Mus musculus: one gene and its partners. The protein of the gene in region 3 purifies or fractionates together with the protein of the main gene of each other region. This does not show direct contact. Links are inferred from orthologs where the notes say so. Each region holds a gene or a part of one and is shown on either strand. Other genes may lie near its edges.

Region 1 (3,585 bases), on a different chromosome or scaffold from region 3:
GATTGTCACTTGGAAGGGAAGAGCTCATTTCAAGAATGATGAATTCAGGCTGGAGAGATGGCTCAGCAGTTAAAAGCACTGACTGCTCTTTCAGAGGTCCTGAGTTCCATTCCCAGCAACCACATGGTGGCTCACAACCACCTGTAAAGGGATCTGATGCCCTCTTCTGGTCTGTCTGAAGACACCTACAGTGTACTTGTATAAGTAAAATAAATAAATCTTAAAAAAAAAAAAAAAATGGCCGGGCGTGGTGGCGCACGCCTTTAATCCCAGCACTCAGGAGGCAGAGGCAGGTGGATTTCTGAGTTCGAGGCCAGCCTGGTCTACAAAGTGAGTTCCAGGACAGCCAGGGCTACACAGAGAAACCCTGTCTCGAAAGAAACAAAAAAACAAACAGAAAAAAAAAACAAAACAAAAAAACAAAACAAGAAAAAAAAATGAATTCTAGCATTGATATTTTATTTTTACCCCCATTTTTATAGATCAGAAAACCAAGAGTAAGAAAACAAGCAACTTGTTCAATTTGCAAAGTGGAGACAAAAATAGACTTCATGTTTAAAAGAAAAATGTATGTGAAGAAGACAGGACAGTAAGAAGATAATGTTCGGCTACTATTATTATTAGCAGGAAAATAAAATCTGAAGGGCAATTCAAACACTACACTCAACCTTTTTACTCAGTGGTGCACGAGGAGAACAAACCTGCGACTTAGAAAACTCCACCACGTTGTAACTGACGTTGTTCAGGAGAGCCAGCGAGTAAACGCCCAACCCGGCATCTTTAGTTCTCCAAATCTGATCCAGGAGTTGAGCAAGCTCCAGAACTCTGCCTGCTGTGTCCACAGCTATCAGCACGTTCCCGTCGCCCCGAAGCGTTTCCAGGACGTTTGCTTAAACAAGAACAGAAGAACCCTATGAAGCATGAGCTTTGTAACAAAGGTAAGCACAGCACAGCTTCCCGCTGCCTGCCTTTCATAAAGACTGCGTAAGTGGTCACTAGGACACATAGAAAGGTTCAGATTAACACAATTACTTCTCACTCGATTGAATATGTTTTCCTAGGAATAAAATACACGACACGTTTTGTATGCATGCATGTAGAATAAAACACAAAACATGTTTTTTTTTTCCAAGGGAAAAAAAAAAAGCATTTTGGGCTGGAGAGAAGATGGCTCAGAGGTTAAGAGCACGGTCTTCCAGAGACTGTTCTTCCAGAGGTCCTGAGTTCAATTCCCAGCAACCACATAGTGGCTCACAACCATCTGTAATAGGATCCGATGCCCTATTATGTTTTGTCAGAAGACAGTTACAGTGTACTCATATAAATATAATAAATGAATCTTAAAAAACAAAAACCATCTCTAGCAATAGATGACTTTGTTCTCAAAGCCACCTTGAAGAGTTGGCTACAGGTAAACTTCTAGCTGGCAAGCACACACGTAAACATACAGATACACTCTACCTGGCAAGTGCACTCACGCACTCACGCTCACACACGAATTGAAGAGTTTTCTAAGGTTAGTGGATTAGTAAGTAGACAGATCAGTGTTTGCACATACATTTAAAAGTGGAACCCAGCTTTCCTGTTGCAATCACATATGGCTTCTAAAATATAACAAAGCACAGCAGAATGAGTCAAAGCAGAAGCAAGACGTGATGGCTCAGAGGCACCCCTGTAAACACAAGATAACCCTCAGAACACCCAACACCCAGCCAGCAGACCTTGTACACCGTCACTTCTCTCTGGCTCACTGCCCTTCTGGTCTGTACATATGCAGTTGTTCTACAGACAGAGACCAGTGGATGCCTGGACAGCTGACTACGAGCAGAGTGGCAGAGGAGGCCAACCTTCAGAGAGAGCATGCTGAACCGGTCACATTAACATTTCTTTAAAATAACACAAGAGTCATGGGGCCAGCAAGACAGTTTAATGGGTTAAGGCTCTTGTTGCCCAGCCTGATGACCCTAATTTGATCCAGATAGTGGGAGGAGAGAACAGACTTCCACAAGATGCCCTCCGACCTCTACATGTACCCTGTGGCAAGCATGTGCCCATACATACATACACATAGAAAATGTATAAAATGCAATTAGAAAAATATTAGTGTTAGCCAATCTTTTCCGACAGACGAACGGTAGGCATACGTACTCAGGAGCTGCTCATCTCTCTGCTTCCTTCTAGGCTGCACGTAAGTAGCATTAAATGAGTCTGTGATAAGTAGAGAGGGTCTGCTTAGCATTTCCAGGGAACATCCATTTAAGTGGCTATAACAAAGTTTAAAGACAAAGAATATCTGTCATTTCAAATAAACAGTAATAGCTTCACCTATTACAAAAATAAGAAACCGCTTTCATAAGGCCTCCCTCACACTAACAAGGACCACCTCTTCAAGATAGGTGATATGACATATTGGACATAATCTTTCTGAAAATACAAGTTTTTCTCTGTACCCTTATATGCATCTAACACATGTATATTTCTATATATCCATTTTATATTCTAGACTTTTCTGTGACATGAACATTTTTCTAAATCTAACTTTTAGAAGTTGTAAAACATTTCTGCCTGAAGCTGGTTTTTTAGAAAACTGGGGTATACACACACACACACACACACACACACACACACACACACACACACACACAGCCTAGGTGACGGTGTGCTCCTCCTACCTCAGCTTCGCAAACGCTGGAATTACAGGCATAGAGCATAGCAAGGCGCTCACCTGTCTCACAACTGTAAAAACTTCCTGTGAGATCTGTACCATTTTGTATTCATCTGACCATTTATTTTTATCTGAACGCACTTTTTCACCACTTTACCTTTGAAAGAGATGGTTTTTGAAATCCCAACCTCCTGTCTCCAGCTCTCAAGTACTGGGATCACAGAGGTGTGCCACCACACCTGGCTGTATTTTTAAAAATTTTTCCATGAAATGTATTCAATAGAATATACAATTATTGTATTGTAACCTTTTCTGGAAAGTTATCAGTATTTTAAGATAATCTAAACACATAACAAGTACACGTTATCTCAGTGTCTGCTTTGTGACTAACACTTGGCCATCTTGCAGTCAGTGTATTTGTGATTTCTTGAGCAATGCCTAGTCTTATACATAGGTAAGTAGTTGGCTAATTGCTACTGCATTTTCTCTGATTAATGGCTTTACTATTTTAATTTAAATATTTAATTTAAATTTATATATAATCAAATGTATTACTTCTTTTGTAAGTTACTTGAGCCTTTACCTTTGTGTGTACAATCTCTTCCAAGTCAGAGGCCGGACACAATACAGCTTCTGTTTCTAGTTAACTCTAAACCCACCTAGAATTTACTGTCACCTTAATTCATCTGACTTCATTCACCATTTACTTCATTTCCCATCCTTCTCATTCACCCACAACTACAAGTCTAGATTCTGTGAGTCCTTAAATGCTTCACAATGTGAAGCTTGAGATGATTGGAATCTAACACAAGACACCCCTGAGCTTAATGCACAGACATAACAAAGAAGGCCTCTAGGAACCACATACAGGGCACGGACACACAGGATTTATAGTATTTTTCTCAATACCAAATTAATAA
Region 2 (3,458 bases), on a different chromosome or scaffold from region 3:
CCTGCTAGGAGGAGGACATGGCATATCAAGGCTCCAGGCTGACAGTAGGAGAGACCGGGAGCCCAGTAACCGTTACCACCCCAGCTTCTGCAGCCTCTTCAGATACTCCTCATCACCTGCTCTTGCTCCCCCCTGCATCTAGATCCGAGGGATGGGCATGAACTCTCCAGAGCTGCTGCTGCTGGTAGAAAACTGTCCCAAGGGGGCAGAGACGCTGGTCACCCGCTGCCTGCACAGCCTCACCGACAAAGGTACCTGGGGGCCCTGCCTTCTACCATCCATCCCACCTGCTCTTGCCCTGTAGGGGCTAGAGCTGCTGTGTCTCTAGTGCCTGTGCCCCTCTAGTTCTTCTGTCCTTGGGCCTCACTCTGTAGTGAAAATATATGAGCTCCATTTAGGGAAGGAGAGGCTGGGATTCCGCTTTGGGACTGTCCTGCCCCTCCCATAAACTTAACTCTGTCCCCTAATCCGTGCTCATCTCCCCTGGCCCCTCCCTGTCATCTCAACTCAGCTTTTCTCTGTCTTCCCCAAAGTGCCACCATCCCCAGAACTGGTGAAGCGGGTCCGAGACCTGTACCACAAACGGCTGCCTGATGTGCGCTTCCTCATCCCCGTGCTCAATGGGTTGGAGAAGGTAGGGAAGGAGGAGAGGGACAGGTGGTCAGCCCACTTCATGGCAGATGGGCTGGAATTGCACACCTAGTTTTGAAGTAGGTCCCCAGACCCATCTCAGCCTCGTCAGTCACTGTTCAAGTGTCACAGTGGGGTGTGGCTCTGTGTGTGTGTGTGTGTGTGTGTGTGTGTGTGTGTGTGTGTGTGTGTGTGTGTGTGTGTTTGTGTGTACTATAGTTCCTGGCCTATGGGTAACACCCCAGCTTATGTCCATGGTAAATTTTGGAGCCAAGGATGGTTCATCACCATGTGGGTGTGAATGGGGATGACACTGTCCACCAGAAGTAGCCAATAGCTTTGGGGAGAGGGGGACCAAGTGTCATGACACTTAGTGTCCTCTGTGAAGTGGGTGGATGTGGGGCCACCCAGCCCATCATCACTCTCATCCCCCATCCCCTTAGAAAGAGGTGATCCAGGCGCTGCCCAAGCTCATCAAACTCAACCCCATTGTGGTGAAGGAAGTCTTCAACCGCCTGCTAGGCACTCAGCACGGTAGGTGCCCTCCCTCCTCGCCAGCTTACCTCCCAGCTGCACTGAGGCTCTCATGGGAATGGCCTTAGAGACCAGAGTCTCTGTTGTCCACCATGGTGAGAAACAAAGAAAAGTATTTGAGGTGGAAAAATAGCCAGAGATGTATATGAATGACTTCCTCATCCCTGGTCCCTGCGGCCACATACAGACATACCAAGTTTATGTGCTTATGTAGAGTTAGTCCTAGGCTGGTGGGCCTTCCCTGCCTTTTGGGTACACAGCCCAGTGCACTGAGGAGACAGAGGGGTCACAGCAAGGAAGCTCTAAAAAGGTGGTGAAGACTTGCAGCCACTTCATTTAGTCTCCTGTCCCCCAGCCCAAGAAGCAAGAGGGTTCCTCATTTGTATTTACCCAAAGCTGGCCTAAGATCCAGCTCTTTGCTGAGGCCCCTGTCCTGTCTCTCTTCCCCCTATTGCCACCCATTGCAGGTGAGGGGAACTCGGCCCTGTCCCCCCTGAATCCAGGAGAGCTGCTGATTGCATTGCACAATATTGACTCTGTGAAGTGTGACATGAAGTCCATCATCAAAGGTGAGGCACCCCTGTTTCCCCAGGACCCAGCTCCCACAGACAGGCAGGGCCTCAGTCACCCACATGGTTCTACTGCATCGAAGACTATGGCCTGATGCCTGACCTGTCCCTTCCCGGTCTCCACCCATAGCACATACACACATGTGCCTGCCTGGGCACCAGGTAGTCCTCGGGAGTACAGGACATCCCTCTTCCTACCTACCCCGAGGAACCCAGGAAGCAGGGCCCACGGAGGCACAGGGCTTCTGCAGACGAGCAGATGGCAGGCCTGAGCTGGGGCGTCAGAGACGTCCATAGTTGGGGCTTGGTGATGCTCTGGCAGGCTTCCTCTGCCCAGGCATCTCCTCCGAGCCAGGCTCTCCCTTCATGCCACAAACCCTGCCACCCACATCTCCTGGTAAGTATGCTCTAGATAGGGCACAAAATTCACAGAAGCTAAATCAGTTGCCAGGGTCACACAGTCTGAGCCAGACTGGAGCCAAACCAAGAAGGGCTCTGCTCACGAGCCTCCCCTGGGAGGAAGCCATCATTTCCCTCTTTCTTTCCTCCTCTAGAGACTTGGCCCAGAATCGGCTCTGTCCCAGGAGGGCCCTGCTGTCATCTATCAGTTAACCTCTCTGCTGACTTTAGGGTAGCTTCTTCTCTGTCCCTGCCTTTCTTGTTCTGCCTGACGTGGCTGCTTCAGGGACCGCTTCCTAGCCTTCCTCAGCAGCCCTGACAACGGGCTTGTGAAGACAGGGCAGAGGAGGCTGCAGGGAAAGGGGAGGGGTATCAGCTGGGATTGTGGGACACACACACACACACACACTTTTTACCATGCTGGGAATGAACCTAGCGCAGCCTCCCATGTGCTAGGTAAGTGTTCTATCTCTATCCACACACTTGCTTCTTGATCCTTAAATGCAATGAAAATAACCTTGACTCTATAGCAGCCCATTCCCAAGGGCAGTTTGAACATAATTGGAAGGGATTTAGAAACACAGCCATCGTGGATCCAGAATAGAAATCTAGTCACAAAGAGAGAAGAAAGGGCCCTGCCAAAAGTCATGCGGATGGCTGAAGACAGGCATCTACCTTGCACAGTCTGGCAGTTTCTTTGGGAATTCTTGTCAGTTCACAGCCTCTAGGCTTCCTAGGTACCCCACAGATCTCACCACATCTCCCTTGTCCCATCAGGTGAGAAGCCCTGGCCTCCCTGGGCCCCAGCACAGTGCTGGGGACACACTGGGACACTGATAGCTGATCCAGCCTGGCCAGGACTCAGGAAGGGCTTTCTCAAGTGGGGTTACCTTCAGCGAGCAGACCCAACAGACATGAGCCTGTCAGATCTAGGGCTGAGCAGAGGTTTCCAAGTGAGGGAGGAAACCGGCTTGGCCTCATGCACCCTCTGGGGTGGAGGACAGGCTGACCTTTTGGACGACCTCTTGGGCTGCTGAGTGGGAAAGGCTAGAGAGGCTGGGAAACACAAGAGGCTGGGTAGACAAGCTGGTGTCAGGCCCATGTGGGCAGCAGTGGAACACGCCTCCACAGCAACAGGCACCTCAAGTTCTGCCAGTCCTTTCTCCTCTGCCCTTCAGCCTATGTGTTTGCTGCAAGGTCCCTCCTCTCCCTATGGGCCTCCTCTTTACAGGATCATCCTTGCCTGCATCGGCCTCTCAGGGATGGGGGAGGTGGGCTTTCTTCTTGCTCAATAAAGACTTCCTGATTGACACACTCACATGGCCA
Region 3 (3,989 bases):
CTTATGTATAAAAATACCCAGTGTACAAAATGTGGAAGAAATGGTGCCTACAGTATCAACTATTTAAGCTCAGGGAATTATATCCATTAACTCCTTGAAAATCTGATGCGAATGATTTCGTTGATACTCGAATGCCTCCTCCCACCTTCATTTGTTTCATCAACTCAAACATCTGTTCTGGTGGAAGACTGGCAACTGCTTTGCTAATGGATTCAGGGGCATCCTCAGGGCTGATGCTTTCTCCATAAGGTGACTCTATGACAGGTGCACCAGTGCCAAGGCCTGATTAGGAAGAAAGTAGAAGAAAGTCAGGATGGTCAAGTAACAACCCAAGTCATTTCAAGTATCTATTTCCTAGGGCTGCTGGAAGCACCAACCAATAACTTGGAACTCTTTGGAGCTGAGCCACTCAAAAATCTTTCTGCGAAGGAAAGTGAGGGTCTACCTTCTGTTCTTAGTGGAAAGCTACGACAGTGATGGTAATATCATCATTTACTTCTTCCATAAGTCACTCCAGAAGAAAAGCACTGAAACCGACAAAGGCTATCATTTCAACAGAGTATTTGTGGAAATGTCTTGAGGATTCCCCACCAGTTACTAGTCTAGCAACACAGAGAAATAACTGATGGCTTAGTAGATCTGCATGTCCCTTACACTGGAAATTAACTCCTAAGGAACAGAAAGATCACTACAGCCAAGTTTCTTAAACATAGTCAACCCCTCATTCAGGTGCCTCAGGTCTAAGAAGCTATTCATTCCGCTCATTACCTCAGCACCTTCTAAAATATCACGGAAAATGCAAAGCTTCCACTCGCCCATCTTTACTCTCATGTGATGCACATGGCTGGGCCTTATACTCACTCTTCAGTTCCTCCTTGTTCTTTTCACTGGCAGCATTATCCACTCGAAGTGCTCTCCCGCTGAATTCACGCCCATTCAAGTTCCGCATGGCACTAAGTGCTGTCTCTTGGTCTTGGTACTCGCAGAAGCCATAGCCCTTTGGTTTTCCTGTCTCCCTATCGTATACCAATCTGCAGACCAAAACCAAGTATTAGGAACTCACACAGGCTTCCTGCTAACACTGCCATAGTCTTATTTAGCCCACTCTGACTGCTTTCTTGGCTCGGAAACATTTTTAATGAAAGAAATCTTTCAGGCAAGACTGGATATGAAGTATCGAGCATGTGCATGTACCCCCAAAATTTGTGCTTTTGAAGACTCTCACAATGAAGACTCCTGAAAGAGGATCTCACCTGAAACTAACAACAGGCCCAACCTCAGAGAAAATGTCCTTCAGTTGTTCTTCAGTAGCTTCATAAGGGATGTTTCCCACTAAAGAAGAGACAACGTATTAAAATTTTGGGGCAGTAACTGAGCTCTTGAGCGAGCAAGTGAACAGTAGGCTTTCTATCTGCATCAACACATAGGCAATAACTGACTGAACAGCGTTCTCCAAACCCCCCCTCGACCACTGTCTCTTTTCAGATCTTATAACAAGGGAAATGAGCCAGAGAGTACATTTAAAAAGGTACCTTTCAAACAGTTCTCGTAGTGATATGACAAATAAAAGGTTTATTTGTCCCTAACTGTGCTGGAAGTAAAATCTTTAAACACTGATATTTCCTCAAAGCCCTTAACAGTGGGGGGATTGTCTCCTTATTTTCATGTATACACACACACACACACACACACACACACACACACACACACGTATGGAGGAAAAGCCGTGAATACAGCACAGGATGCTTAAAAATTATCCTGTGCTTAATTAAGACCCTCACGATGACGAGACCGTTTTGTCGTGTCTCTTTCAAACAGTGCTTATTTCTTGTTATTTTTTTGTTCTGAGAAAGAATCTTGTTATGTAGCTCTGGCTGGTCTTGTGAGGTAACCTAGGCTGGCCTTGAATTCGAAGCAATTCTACTGCCCCCAAACGTGCTTTAAAAGCAATGCACGTATCTTAGAAATAACTCATTTAAACCCTAAGAATTGCTTAGTTGCGCTCCTCTGAAATCGCCCTGCGCTTTAATCATTTAATCATTCATTCATTCATTCATTCATTCACAACCCATCTCAAGATGCCAGGTGGCCGCTACCACTATGGTTGGATGGAACCAAGTAAAAAAAAGCAAGCCACATAACACGTTTATGAGAGGGCGGGAAGTGGCTATGGGGGTCGATGGATTCAGAATAAAAATCTGTATTTTGGGGTAGGAGAAGCAGCACGGAACAGGGACACTCTGTTTCCACGCACCTTTTCTCCTAAAAAATAACTGAGAATCATGAAGGGGGGAAAAGAAACCGCAAGAGAAGACACCGGCTCGAGGCTGGCTCCCTGAGCCACACTGCGGCAAAACCTCCGGTACCGTGGAGCCGGAGCCGGAGCCGGGGAGATGGCGGGGGCGGGGGATCGTGTGTGTCCACGAGTCCGCCGGGCTGCAGTGCCAAAGGACAGCAGCGAGCCCGCCCGCCGGGGACACCCGCTCCGCTCCAGACGGGGGACCGCAGGGGACGTCCCTCCCCGAGCCGAGGCGCCTCGGAAAATCCTCTCACCGAAGACGGAGCGCAGGGAACGATCCACCGCAGGGTCTCTCACTGGCAAACCCGCCATGGCTCACCCCCGAGGTGGCTTCCGGTGCGCTAAAGCACACTTCCGCGGCCGAGCGAGACCACGGCCCAGCCCGCCTCCGTCCGGTGGGAGCCGGAAGCACCTGGCCCCGAAGCGCCGCCGCGGAGCCCGGCCGCGCGCCTCACCGCGGTCGTTCCCGCCAGGCGGCTCGGCCCCGGGGGAGGGGCAACAGGCTGCAGGAAAAGGCGGAGGCTCAGGAGAAGCGGCGTGAGCGGCGTGCCGCGGGGCGGGGCCAGGCCCGAGACGACGTCATAAGGGGGTGGGGCTAGGCTAATGTGACGCCTTGGAGCCTGCAGTAAGAAGCCATTCTTGCAGAAGGTCGCTTTTCGCTGGCGCCCACCCAAGCAATTACAAACATTAACTCCGCGAGCTGGATATGTGGTTCATTTGTAGAAGGCTTACATAGATAGCATGTATGAGGTCCTAGATTAAATCTCCAGCAAAACACATCCCATATTAGAGGAATAGAACACACACACACACACACACACACACACACACTTTATGGAACATGTCTCAAGATGTAATTCTGGTAAAGAAAGGAAATTCCATTTAAAATCACTATGTGACTGATAGAATACCTTAGATAATAGAATTATCCAAAGCCAGATATTTGCAGCTCTGTAAGAAGCACAGTATCAGAGTTTTCATGAGTCACAGTTCGGAGTGGTGAATTTTCGCTAAATGAATATGTAATGGCGACGTAGGTTCCTCACCTAATGCTTTCAAAATCTCATCTAGACGAAGTATTTGCTTGGGTACTTAACTATGAATAGCGGTTTTCTTGGACCTCCACTCCAATCTAGAGAGTGAGATTTACACAGTAAACTGGAGAGTCATTTTTCAACGAGTGCCTCTGGTGGTTCTCAGGGCTATGCAATCTGGGAAATATAGTTAAATGAAGTAGTTTTAGGACAGCCTTTGGTAGAGCCATACCGTCTTTTTTATCCGCACATTGTTAAGTAATAGCTGCACAGCTCTTTCCCTTGTGAGGGAGGACATTTGGAACTATACTGGAGTGGTTTTGGTTTCTGGATGCCGAGTGACACACCACTACTGGAAGAAGAGCCCGAAAAAGCAAACATACTCTCACGTGCAGGGCTCTGCTCCAGGGAACCCCTCCCTCACTCCATCAGTGCCGATCTTTCTGTGAGAAACACATTGTATGAGCTCTACTGGAGAAAGCAGACATTGGCTCTAAGAGCCATGCTGTGCGTGCTCAGGTGCAAGCATAACTTCTATGGCTTCTATGGCTCTCTCCCAACTAGGCAGCTAATTCTGATACAAGCTGACATTTGTATTTGCTCCACGTTCTAGTTTTTGTGGGCGGCACTGAGGTTCTTGTGCTCACAACTAAGCC
Region 4 (4,186 bases), on a different chromosome or scaffold from region 3:
GAACTTAGGTTGGATTCCAGAGCCTTGTGCGTGTGACACAAGCACTCTTACCAACTGTGCAACATCCATAGCCCTATAAATCACACTCTTGAGGCAATGGCAAATCTGAATATGGACATGTTAGAAATACATCATTATTGAGCCAGGTGCACTGGAAAGAACCTATGATCAGTACTTGGGAGGTTGAAGTTCAAGGTCATTTATCAGCTACAAACTGAGCCAGTTTGCCCTCAAAGTATACAAGACCCTATCTCAAAAAAATAATACAGAAGCCAGGATAGGTTCCATATGCCTTTAATCCCAGCACTTGGGAAGCAGAGCCAGGCAGATCTCTGAGTTGGAGGTTTGCCTGATCTTCCAAGAGCTGTTATACAACAACATCAACAAAAGCAATCCCCCTCACTCCCCAATAAGGCATTACTAGATTTTGAGTAGGATAATGGTATGGTAGTTACATAAAAGCATTAATGTCATTATATAAAAGAATGTTGAAATAGTTTGGACTGAAATGTGATAAGTCAACTTTCAAAGAAATGTGTATGGAGAAAGAAAATATGTCAAGGTTAGAGGTATATGTCAATAGTAGAGCTTGCCTAATATGAGGAAGTTCCTAGCTTTTAAGCCACAAGAAATATGTGTATGAATACATACTTGCAATACTATATATATATATATATATATATATATATATATATATACACTCGTGTGTGTGTGTGTGTGTGTGTGTGTGTGAGAGAGAGAGAGAGACAAAACCTGTAACCCTGAGAGAGAGAGAGAGAGAGAGAGACAGACAGACAGACAGACAAAACCTGTAACCCTGCTGGATTTGGTGAAAATTATAATGAGTGTTCATGAGTTTTCCCTTCAACTTTTGTTGTAAACTGCACAATAAAATTCAAAGGAGGAATGCCTGTTACAGATGCTGAAGCTGAAAGATTGCAATGAGTTCAAGACCTGCCTGAGTTGCACAGTACTCCTAGATTAAAAAAGAAAAAAAAAAGGCTAGATGTGCATGTACCATCTTTACTCCTAGCACTCAGCAAGGCAGAGGTTCAAAGCCAGACTGGTCTATGTAGCAAGTTCCATGCCAGCCAGGCCTACATAGGGGCAACTGTCAAAATAAAAGGGGTTTGGAGAATGGAGGTTTATAAAGTCTCATCACAGTTCTCATAGAAAACATCACACACTGTGTTACTAAGGCTTTTAACTCAGTGGTTGATTGCTTCCCTGCATGCATAAGGCCCGGGGTTCAACCTCTAGCTGGGGTGGAGCAGGATGACCCACAACAAAAACTAAAACCCGCATAGTTCTAAAACAAAAGCATGGCAAATTTTTGTCTTTACAAATTTATATAAAACAGTGAATTTCAGACACATCCAATGAAACCTCAACACCACTCCTTCACTTTCAGAAAATAAAAATGCCAGCCCGGTAAGAGTAGAGTAAAATAAACAGTTTTAGAAAAATAGTTCAAAGACACTGCATTCGTGGGCACCCTGACTTTAGATAAAATGCAAAAGCACTGCCAAGACTTGGAATTAAATTGGTCCTCAAGCGTTTCAGTCACCAAAGTAATTAAGTTCTAATTTGCCTACACTTCATTAACATACAGTCCTATTTTACCTCATCTGTCAACCTCCAATAATTTCTATTTTATTAGCTGGGGATTTGGGAAAAAGAAAAGAAATAAAAATACAAGCGTATTTCATTGCTATAGCAATAAGAAATTTAGGACTTTGTTTTCTTTTAAAACTAAATATACGTGGATCAAGATCAAAACACACACCTTTCAAAAACTCAGTTTTGTTTTTTACAGTAAAAGCCAAACACTAGCCTACAAAATTTAGGATATAAAAGAGCAAAAGAACCAAACATGGAGATGGACGCCTGGAGGCCAAGGAAGCAATCCTGTCAGAAGGTCCTGCCTAGTCAGGGCTACACTGTGAAAACCTATCCAAAACAAACAAACAGCCAAACAGCAAAAGGGTGAGATCTCCTATCTAAAAGTCCCATTTGTAAAATACTTATGTATCATTCATATCTAACCATCCAAACAGATGGTGCCTACAGTGACTAAAGCACATTTCGAGTTTTCAGTTTACCAAATTCTGCAATGTTTGCGTGGTCGTAAAAGCAAAAATAAAGTGTTCCTAAACGAGAGGGGAAGAAAGCGAATCCACAAAATTCCCCCAAAGCTCGGAAGAGCCGTGGCTCTTTTTACCTTCGCTCTCTCGGGGGCCGAATTTTCCAGACTGATTTCGTTATTTCTGGGGACAGAGGACTGGGGGGCAGACGAGGAAAACACTGCCAGCGCAGATACACGTTAGAACAATCTGGGACTACCGGAACACTAAAGTGGTATGAAATACACCGTCCCGACCGAAGAAACTGCAATGGCCAGGGCGAAGCGACGTCTCTGCCATTGTCTAAGTCCCATACTTATTCGTACGAACGCCACAGAGAAGCCCAAACCTGGGAGACTTCGGGGGATGCGCTCCCGATCCCCGGGCTCACTAGCTCTTCAGGGCCCTTGCTCACGCGAACGGGGTGCTCGCACCCACAGGGCTAGAGAGAGAAGAGGTCGCCACGAGGCCCCACCGCTCCCGTTCCTCACCTGCTCCGCGGCTGCGTCTCCTGACATGGCCTCGGGGGACTACAACGTACGCACCAGCCGGCAAAGGGAAGCTAGAAAAGGAAAATTAAACTAAAGGCAAACCCCACCAAAACCAGGAACACTACCCCTGTCCCTCAGAGCCAAAGCCGCCGCCAAATCCGCTGCCGCCGCCGCCGCCGCCGCCGCCCACTCAGATTTGAATTAAAATGGCTGCGCCCCAGCCGGCAGAGGGGGTGTGAGGCGCTTCCGTATTCACTTCCGGGACAGTGGGCGGGGCTGAGGCTTAACTCCCGGATTATTGGAGGTGCACAAGCGCAGAGCGCTCCCAGAGGGCGGGCTCAGTGCGTGAGCTAACGTCACGCCCGGAACTGATGACGCCGCTGTCCAGATTTCCGAGGCCGGCCGGAAAGATCCACCCGATTGGCCTGGGAGCTCCCGCGCTTCTTGGAATTTCACGACTGAGTTGCAGAGCCGAGCTCCTCCCTGCTGAAGCCTGACTGCCAATCCGCTCTGTACAGGCAAACTGACCATTTTAGGGAATAGCGTTGAGAGTTAGTGAATACCTCTCGTGTTTCGGGAATAAGGAGTCTACTAACGCGTTCTGTACGTTTTCTTTTCTTGGGGAGGAGAGGAACACATCAAGTCTGTTTTTTGTTTTTTTGTTTTTTTGTTTTTTTGTTTTTTGTTTTTTTTTTTTTACTTTTGCTGTCACCGTTCACTATTAGACCGGGGATTTTAGTTTAGCGTCTCACCACGATCTCTTATCTGCAAAATTGCGTTGATAGTGGCGAAGGAATGTTGCTTTGCATCCAGACTTCTCACCTACTATAGAGGAGTAGACTGGGCAATTTGCATTATCTGCGTCTCTGTTTCCTTGCCTAAAGATAGGAATAGCAACAGCAGCTAAGATTTAACTTAAAAGGTAAAAGCTCTTATTTGGCTTACGAGTAACCAGGAGGTTATTGAGCGGTGGTGGCACAAGTCTTTAATCACAGTACTCGGGAGACAGAGGCTGGATGGATCTCTGAGGGCAGCCTGGTGTGTAGAGCCCACGGACGAGGGCCATACAATGAGATGCATATATCTTTTTAAGCAAATAGATGCATGAATCAAATGTACATATATTGAGTCACTGCAACATTTGATAATGGAGTCTGAATATTTCAGAAGTCTCCCTCAATGGGGCGTTACTCTTTTAAACTGTTGCTGATGTGACTGACTTAGAAAAATATCCACAATGAGCCAGGATGGTTCAAAGAGTGGAGGTGCTTGCCGTGATGGCCAAAAAACTTGAGTTTGATCCTGGCATCCAATGAGTTGACAGGATAGAACCGACTCCAGGAAGTTATTCCTTGACCTCCACACATGCACTATGGCTTGCAAACTCCTGCACTTACAAACACACAGGCACTCACAAGATAAATATATAAATCTAAAAATAGCCACAAAATTAAGCCAGAAATATAAAATAGCTTATGTGTATATATGTGTGCATGTGTGTGTGCACGCCTATGCGTGCGTGTATTCATCAAAACATTTAAAGAGGTTATTGTTAATGTCACAGATGCAAGG

The links.
Region 1: the proteins of Cstf2 (region 3) and Cpsf2 purify together in Homo sapiens (affinity purification with western blotting; 3 studies listed by BioGRID and IntAct, with this or other methods). This does not show direct contact. The link is inferred for Mus musculus from reciprocal best matches to the Homo sapiens genes CSTF2 and CPSF2.
Region 2: the proteins of Cstf2 (region 3) and Sympk purify together in Homo sapiens (affinity purification with mass spectrometry; 4 studies listed by BioGRID and IntAct, with this or other methods). This does not show direct contact. The link is inferred for Mus musculus from reciprocal best matches to the Homo sapiens genes CSTF2 and SYMPK.
Region 4: the proteins of Cstf2 (region 3) and Cstf3 fractionate together in Homo sapiens (co-fractionation; 4 studies listed by BioGRID and IntAct, with this or other methods). This does not show direct contact. The link is inferred for Mus musculus from reciprocal best matches to the Homo sapiens genes CSTF2 and CSTF3.

What each region holds. Positions count from the first base shown.
Region 1 is NC_000078.6:101,985,937-101,989,521, reverse strand, and holds part of Cpsf2 (cleavage and polyadenylation specificity factor subunit 2), read right to left. Parts: intron 2,265-3,585; coding exon 2,149-2,264; intron 890-2,148; coding exon 702-889; intron 1-701. UniProt on the Homo sapiens protein: Component of the cleavage and polyadenylation specificity factor (CPSF) complex that play a key role in pre-mRNA 3'-end formation, recognizing the AAUAAA signal sequence and interacting with poly(A) polymerase and other factors to bring about cleavage and poly(A) addition.
Region 2 is NC_000073.6:19,048,307-19,051,764, forward strand, and holds part of Sympk (symplekin), read left to right. Parts: intron 1-142; coding exon 143-251; intron 252-533; coding exon 534-634; intron 635-1,073; coding exon 1,074-1,164; intron 1,165-1,631; coding exon 1,632-1,733; intron 1,734-2,287; coding exon of another isoform or gene 2,288-2,451; exon of another isoform or gene 2,452-3,449; intron 3,450-3,458. UniProt on the Homo sapiens protein: Scaffold protein that functions as a component of a multimolecular complex involved in histone mRNA 3'-end processing. Specific component of the tight junction (TJ) plaque, but might not be an exclusively junctional component. May have a house-keeping rule.
Region 3 is NC_000086.7:134,057,987-134,061,975, reverse strand, and holds the start of Cstf2 (cleavage stimulation factor subunit 2), read right to left. Parts: upstream 2,801-3,989; 5' UTR 2,612-2,800; coding exon 2,554-2,611; intron 1,333-2,553; coding exon 1,254-1,332; intron 1,032-1,253; coding exon 862-1,031; intron 283-861; coding exon 146-282; intron 1-145. UniProt on the Homo sapiens protein: One of the multiple factors required for polyadenylation and 3'-end cleavage of mammalian pre-mRNAs. This subunit is directly involved in the binding to pre-mRNAs.
Region 4 is NC_000068.7:104,589,131-104,593,316, reverse strand, and holds the start of Cstf3 (cleavage stimulation factor subunit 3), read right to left. Parts: upstream 2,834-4,186; 5' UTR 2,642-2,833; coding exon 2,615-2,641; intron 1-2,614. UniProt on the Homo sapiens protein: One of the multiple factors required for polyadenylation and 3'-end cleavage of mammalian pre-mRNAs.